Astyanax mexicanus: one gene and its partner. The protein of the gene in region 1 interacts with the protein of each later gene in a pairwise test. Links are inferred from orthologs where the notes say so. Each region holds a gene or a part of one and is shown on either strand. Other genes may lie near its edges.

The links.
Region 2: the proteins of fxr2 (region 1) and paf1 interact in binary tests that used the Homo sapiens proteins (3 or more experiments, as listed by UniProt). The two-hybrid records come from large-scale screens. The link is inferred for Astyanax mexicanus from reciprocal best matches to the Homo sapiens genes FXR2 and PAF1.

What each region holds. Positions count from the first base shown.
Region 1 is NC_064415.1:16,171,864-16,175,619, forward strand, and holds the start of fxr2 (fragile X mental retardation syndrome-related protein 2), read left to right. Parts: upstream 1-1,305; 5' UTR 1,306-2,084; coding exon 2,085-2,135; intron 2,136-3,756. UniProt on the Homo sapiens protein: mRNA-binding protein that acts as a regulator of mRNAs translation and/or stability, and which is required for adult hippocampal neurogenesis. Specifically binds to AU-rich elements (AREs) in the 3'-UTR of target mRNAs.
Region 2 is NC_064425.1:7,496,903-7,500,658, forward strand, and holds the start of paf1 (RNA polymerase II-associated factor 1 homolog), read left to right. Parts: upstream 1-916; 5' UTR 917-1,099; coding exon 1,100-1,146; intron 1,147-2,753; coding exon 2,754-2,783; intron 2,784-2,934; coding exon 2,935-3,027; intron 3,028-3,568; coding exon 3,569-3,690; intron 3,691-3,756. UniProt on the Homo sapiens protein: Component of the PAF1 complex (PAF1C) which has multiple functions during transcription by RNA polymerase II and is implicated in regulation of development and maintenance of embryonic stem cell pluripotency.

The DNA.
Region 1 (3,756 bases):
GCAGTACAATGCTAGCTAATTGCCTCAAAGTGTATATCCCAAAGCATGAGCTACTCACCTTATTACCACGTAGCCATGTAGCCAGTCTTAAAAACAAGTACTAAAGAAATAAACTCTGTAACTTGACATTGTTCGGATAGCTTTATCTTCGTCTTTTAGCATTTATATTTTTACATACTTTACAAGATTTTTCAGCATAAACATTTTAATATGACATTATAGTCATTAAGATTTTTAGAAAAATGTTTTTTTTTTGGGAGGGGGTTATGCACTATAGTTTCCAGTGGTGTGGCTTAAGCTTTTGTTCTTAATGTTATACTTTAAGCAGTTTTAAAACCAGAACTTTTACAATTCTTTCATAATTCAGCTTCCAAAATTCAGCTTTAAACCCTAGTATCTATACTTATAGCTGCATAATGAATTGTGACACCTTTGGCACTTACTACATGTCCAGTACCGTGTTAAAGTGTGTGTTTACTACATGTCCAGTACCATGTTAATGAAGTGTGTACTTACTACATGTCCAGTACCGTGTTAATGAAGTGTGTACTTACTACATGTCCAGTATCGTGTTAATGAAGTGTGTACTTACTACATGTCCAGTATCGTGTTAAAGTGTCTTTACTACATGTCCAGTACCATGTTAATGAAGTGTGTACTTACTACATGTCCAGTAACGTGTTAATAAAGTGTACTTACTACATGTCCAGTACCGTGTTAATGAAGTGTGTAAGTTACTTACTACATGTCCAGTACCATTACCGTGTTAATGGAGTGTGTATTTATGACCATATAGCCATGTAACCAATCTAATAAACAAACGCTAAGCTAATAAAGTGTGTTTCTCAAATTCGCTATGTACCTCAGCATTGTGGAAATAAGGTTCGAGTGGCTTTATGAGGCCATATGGCAATACTACAAGTTCACCTGCCAGTTCAGCTGCATTTATCTTTTAATGAATCTCTATAAAATAAGAAAAGGAGCATAATGAAAAATAAATAGTCTCAAACAGTCTAAAATAGGTCGTGTTTGTTATTTTTCCCAGCAGTAGAAACACGTCGCACACACAGGCTTTTGTGAATTGGCGTGGATAGTGAAAAGAGTCGCCTAAATTTAGTAAAGAAAAACTACCACCAATCAGCAGCGCAGGCACTGGACTTCGTGTTGACCCGGCCTCCGGCATCTCCACCAATGAGGAAGGACTTAGTTTTAGATGGATACGTGCCCTGACCAATGAAAAGGTTTAGTCTCCAGTGAGGGCGGGCTTTCCAGTAGTAGGGGTGGGCATTTTGGGGTCATTCACACTCTCGCATTTTCACTCTGACGGCGTGCGTTCGAGGGGACGGGCAACGGGGGTTAAAGGAGTTGCCGGGCGGTAGCAGAGCACAGCGGGTTTGGGGTATTTTTTTTAAGCTGATAGCGCTGCTGTGTGGAAGATTGGAGCCCGTTAGAGTCCAGACTGCTCAACAACACAGATACATGCCGCGTAGCGTAACTACGCTAAGTTCGCTATAAGAGCCCGGTAACTAAGGAAGGAGGTGTTAGCTTTAACCTAGTGATAGAAAGAAAGCTATAGCTAGCTTAGCTAGCTAATTAGCCGCTGACTTAGTTAGTTAGCTAGTTAGTTGAGTTAATATGCTAGCTAAAGCTAGCTAGCTAACACCGCCTCTCCATCACCCTCAGCACCCCAGCACAGCCACAGCAAGGGGGGAGCGTGGCCGGCTACACAGCCGAGTAGAATAACAGCTAGCTAGCTAGCTAGCTAGTTAGCTAACCTAGCTATTGCGATAGCCTGTAACGGTAAAATAGCCTTCTAGCTAACAAGACCGTTAGATTAGTTAGTTAACTAACTGGTTAGTTCGCCAGTTAGCGGTTGTAGAGTTATTAGTTAAAGCAATTGAGGGTGGGTGTCTTTCTGCCCAAACAAACCTTCTGCTGCTCAGCCTCCCCCTCTCTACCCATCATCTCTACCCCCTGCCTCTCCACCCGAAACACTGGAAATCCTCAAGCGGCCGGAGAGCGGCGGAGGGCCGGCGAAGCTGGGGGTGCTTCCCGACTCTCAAAGCGGCGCTGCGCCGGCAAACATGGACGGACTGGCGGTGGAGGTTCGCGGCTCTAACGGGGCCTTCTATAAGGTAAATAGACCGGAACACACTCAGCTAAGCTAGCCAACATGCTGTCCTCAATCAAATGTGTGAGTCTGCAGCTTCATCTGAGACACCTAGGTTAGCTATCTAGCTAACTAGCTACATGCACTTACTTGCACTACTCTAAGCTCTAACCAAGAAGGCCCCTAAATGCATAAATGAATGGCACGAGGTTTGGTTTTACAGTCTTCTAAAGAAGGGCCAAACAAGAAAAACATGATGATAATAACGATGATGATAATTATGATGGTGATGTATCTCAGCAGCTCCTGGCCTGTATCTGCTAACCTATGTGTTATCATTTGTTTCCACTGGTCAGATTTGGCTGGCTAGCTTGCTAACAGCTATCTATCTAGGTTATGTTAGCCATTGTGGGGCACGTTGGTTTGGTTTGGCAGGACTCCTCCCGAATTTATTTTTCTTCTCCTCTCCCTCTTCCTCAGTATCCAAACACTGAAATACTACATGCTAGCTAGTTAGGTTAGTTAACTTGCTAATTTGCTAGCTAACTAACTAACTAGGTGAGGTGGGTACAAAACAAAACCGCCTTCTAACTGTTTCTGCCATGTTACATAGGTCGTCTCAGGACAGAAAGGCTTGTTATTGGATGTTTTTCCTCCAGTTTAATAATAATAAAGCTAGCTTCTAGCAGTCTGAGAGAGTGACCCATCAGCAGTGGTCTCAGGATCACAGAATGTCTGGTCACATGTCAGTTTGCTTTGGGTCAGTCCAGTCTGGTGAAGAAAGTCAGAGAGGTGTTTGTTGTCGTTAGTGGTGTAGTTAGCTTTTTAAGAAAAGAGCTGCGTCAGGTAGCCTAGCTGTTAGCAATGAGGGTTTTGTTTATTTGCTTGTTTTGTACACTGGCTGGTTGTCCTAGTCTAGCACAGTAGGGTGGGCCTAGTTTGAGTCAGAATCAAGTCATTTTAGGTCAGCCAGGCTAAGACTGAAGTGATGAGGTTTGCTCACTTTAAGTAGTAGGCTATGAGTGTCAGTTATGATCTGAAGTGAATATTTTCAGAATGATACCCTCATATATGATGATATCTTTCAGATGTGTCTTTAAGGAGCACACTTAATCCAATGGTTTGGCACTGGCTCTCCATTTCAGGCCTCCTGGAAGCACAGAGATCATACTCATGTGTATCTTTGGACTGGTTATGTCACAGGCTTCGTGTGTGCAGTAGTAGTAATGGTGTGGCACACGTTTTACACCCATGGTTCTCTGAAGGTTTGACTGAGGGAACAGAGCAGGTGGAAGAAGAACAGGTGATATCAGGCCTGACACTCAACACTCTCTGTCTTTCTCTCTCCATCCCCCTCTCACACTACTGCTTGGTGGAATCCCCCCTGTTCACTTGTTTTTAATTCAGTTCCAATCAGTGGAAGTAACTTTTAGCTACACTTAGTTATTTTTGAGCGGCTCATTTTTGCTGCCGATTTCCCCCTCTTTTCTTTCTATCCATCTTTTAACAATTTGTTCTCAATGCTTCACTTTACTTTTCTTTCTGACTTTTCTTCATCTCATTTACTGTTTCTTTTCATCTGAATCTTAGGGTAAACAGGAAGTTGTGCTTGTGCTCAGATAGACTGTAAATATTGACCCTATGCA
Region 2 (3,756 bases), on another chromosome or scaffold:
TTTTAATGATTATTAAAAATGAAAATGTTATATAAAGTATTATAAAGTATTTTATAGAAATATCTAGAAAATAAAAGGTTATCATCAAATCTAAATAGAATGAATTCTTTTTTTTTTTAATAAGTGAAAATAATGAATTCTTAAACAACAAAACAGTTTAAAAGTTCCAGATAAATAATGAAATAAGTATCTACGACATTTGGACAAAAAGCATTAAAAGAAAAAAATAAATATCAAAAATATTAATACCAATAGTGTTAAATATAAAAAATGTATAGGATATAAGTAGAAGTATCCACAACTGTAGTCATTCTAAAAACTTGTATCTCCACATTTAATAAGAAAAGTCTATAGTGCCTTGAAAAAATATTCAATATTCATTGCACTTTTCTACATTTATCCCAAAATCTTAATAAAATACATTTGTGTAATAGACCAACACAACGTGGCAGTAATTGTAAAGTGAAAATAAACTTCTACATATTTAAAAAAAAAAAAAGAAATAAAAATAATAGACCACTTAAAAACGATGAGTTTCTTTGATTTTACCAAATTGAAAACCTCTAGAATATGTGTTCAGTCGGTGTTCTGTGCAACCCTACTGTATATTTGAGGGTAAGATACACAACATTAAAAGTATGCACCCAGCAGAAGTCTGTGTATTATTTTGGATAAAGTAAATCACTGTATCAGGGAAAAGTTATGGTAATAATAGGTCATTAGAAAATTATTATTTTTTAATAAATATTTCTTTTGTTAATTTACATTTTTGTTTACACATTTGTGTAGTGTAAAGACAGTGGATCCGGGTTGTTTAATGCTTAAAAACTAAATAACATGATAATCATAAAAACATGAAAATTAAATATTAAAAATGTAGTTAATCACATTGGCTGTAGGAAGCACGTATCGGCGGGTAGCGTAACTCGGCAGAACACCGGTATCAGACAGGGGGCCTGTAGGAGTGTGTGGCTGTGGATCAGCTATAGCAGACTGTAAACAGAGCCCGGGTTTTGATTTATTCTCTTTATTTACAGGATTTAGACTTTATTAAAACACACAGGAGAAGCGGATTAAGGAAAGGAGTTTTTTTGTGGAAATGGCGCCGACGATTCAGACTCAAGCGCAGCGGGAGGACGGACACCGGTAAGCGGCTACAGCATTGACCGGGAGCCCGCTGGATAGCTAACCTAGCTTACAAGCTAACGCTAATGCTAGCTAACTAACTAGTTAACCTAGCAAAGCTAAGCTAAGCTAACTCAAAGGCTAAAAAGCATTTTCACTAACGGGCTTTATTTAGTTTGACCGGTTACAAAATAAACCATTATTTTAAGATACTTAATCTCACAAGTTTAATAAATATGACGCTGTTTTACATATTTGCCTTTATTTACCCTGAATAAGGATCTGTAAACTCGTAGCTGGCATGTTGGCTAAAGCTATGCTAACCAAAATAGCTAACACGCATTAACATTAAGTTAGCATGTTAGCAAAGGTCTTTTTCTATCAGTGACAATTCTAATCAAATTAATCAACTTAGCTTAAGTAAATATAATTTTTATTAGTTTCAGATACAGAATCATTGTTTTGAGTCATTATTTTGATGTGTTAAGTTGTTATTGTGAGATAAGTAACGTTATTTTGAGATAGTAACGTTAAATGTTATTTTGAGATAATAAGTGGTTATTTTTAGATAGTAACCCTAAGTTATTATATTTTGAGCTACTAAGTTGTTTTTTGAGGCATTAGTTATGTTGAGTTAGTAAGTCGCTATGTTGAGTTAGTAAATCGCTATGTTGAGTTAGTAAGTCGCTATGTTGAGTTAGTAAGTCGCTATGTTGAGTTAGTAAGTCGCTATGTTGAGTTAGTAAGTCGCTATGTTGAGTTAGTAAGTCGCTATGTTGAGTTAGTAAGTGTTTATTTTGAGGTAGTAAGTGTTTATTTTGAGGTAGTAAGTGTTTATTTTGAGGTAGTAAGTAGTTATTTTGAGGTAGTAAGTCGTTATTTTAAGATAGAAAGTGGTTAGTTTAAGGTAGTTATTGGTTATTTTGAGGTAGTAAGTCGTTATTTTAAGATAGTAAGTGGTTAGTTTGAGGTAGTAAGTCGTTATTTTAAGATTTTAACTTATTTAGAGATACTAAGTCATTATTATGAGGTCTTAAGTTGTTGTTTTGAGGAATTAACTTAATTATGTTGCGATTGCCCATACCATCTAGAATATTACACAATTGGCAAACGTTTTTTTTTTTTTTTTTTTTTTTTTTTTATATATATATATATATATATATTTTTATATATATATATATATATATATATATATATATATATATATATATATATATATATATATATAAATAAATAAATAAATATAAAATGTCTCAAATTATTTTTCAGTATTTTGACATGCGTCAGTGCATCCTGAAAATAAGTAATTCCTCTTGCCTTAAAGATTTTGCACTTTTTTTCTTTTTTGGAGGGACTGAGACGATAGAACGATAGAACGATAGAACGATAGAACGATAGATAGATAGATAGATAGATAGATAGATAGATAGATAGATAGATAGATAGATAGATGATTGTCGAGTGAAAATTCTAGACTGATTCAGATCTGAGCATGTGTAGTATACATAGAATTTCAAGCTTCAGAATAGTTTTTATTTTGTTTTCCTGACACTTGTTTGATATTTCTTTCCTTATTACACTGCTGAGTTAACCAGATGCTTATTCAGAGGTTCTTTTTCTTTTTACAGGAGCTCTGCACACAGAGCCATTCCAGAAAGGTACTGTATCACTTGTATCCCTTCACCTTCTGTGGACTGTTTTAGACTTTAACTTGAGATTGGATTAATTGTGGTTTTTGTAACAGTTTAATGAATTATTTTTCTTTATACGCATTGTTTGTGTTTTCTTCTTCCTTTTTTACTTCTTTAGGTCCGGAGTCGTGTGCCGCGTCAAATACTGCAACAGTCTCCCCGATATCCCATTTGACCCAAAATTCATCACATACCCCTTTGACCAGCACAGGTACTGAAATGTCTTTTTATTTTTTAACACTTGATAGTTAAAGGTTTATTTTCTCAATGTTAATGTTAAAGTTAAATTTATGGCACTCTCCACTAGAAATGCATAAAGGCATTTAGTAAATTCTCTTTATTAATCATGGTGGTGTTTTGGGCGTCATGTGAAATAAACCAATTAGCATGTCACTTGTCATTCTCTTTAAGAGCCAGGTGCACTCTGACCTTTTTTTAAATGCTAGCTAGTATTTCCCTGTATTTTTGGGAAGAGGACAAATATTGTCCAGTGTGCTGTGCCTGGCACAGTGTTTTACTGTATAATAGTCTTTTTTTTAGCAGATTTAAGGCTTTTTCAGCTGAGAGTTTTAATGGAAGAAATAGATGCTAGTCTAGCTCCATATTCCACACTCAACAACCTGAAAAGAGGAGTGTGTGGGTATATATCTGTAAGACAGCCCACATTGCTCAAAACTAAAATAATTTACAAATATTTATTGTAATCCTGTTTGAACTGTGTGAATAAGTGACTCTGGTTTGTCTTGGTGCAGGTTTGTGCAGTATAAAGCCACTTCACTGGAAAAACAGCACAGACATGAGCTGCTTACAGAGCCAGACCTGGGAGTCACCATCGATCTCATCAACCCAGACACATACCGCATAGACCCCAACAGTAAGTGCTTAATACATACAACATGGAGCACACTGTCTTTTCCTACAGAAGAAATCCGGGATGAAG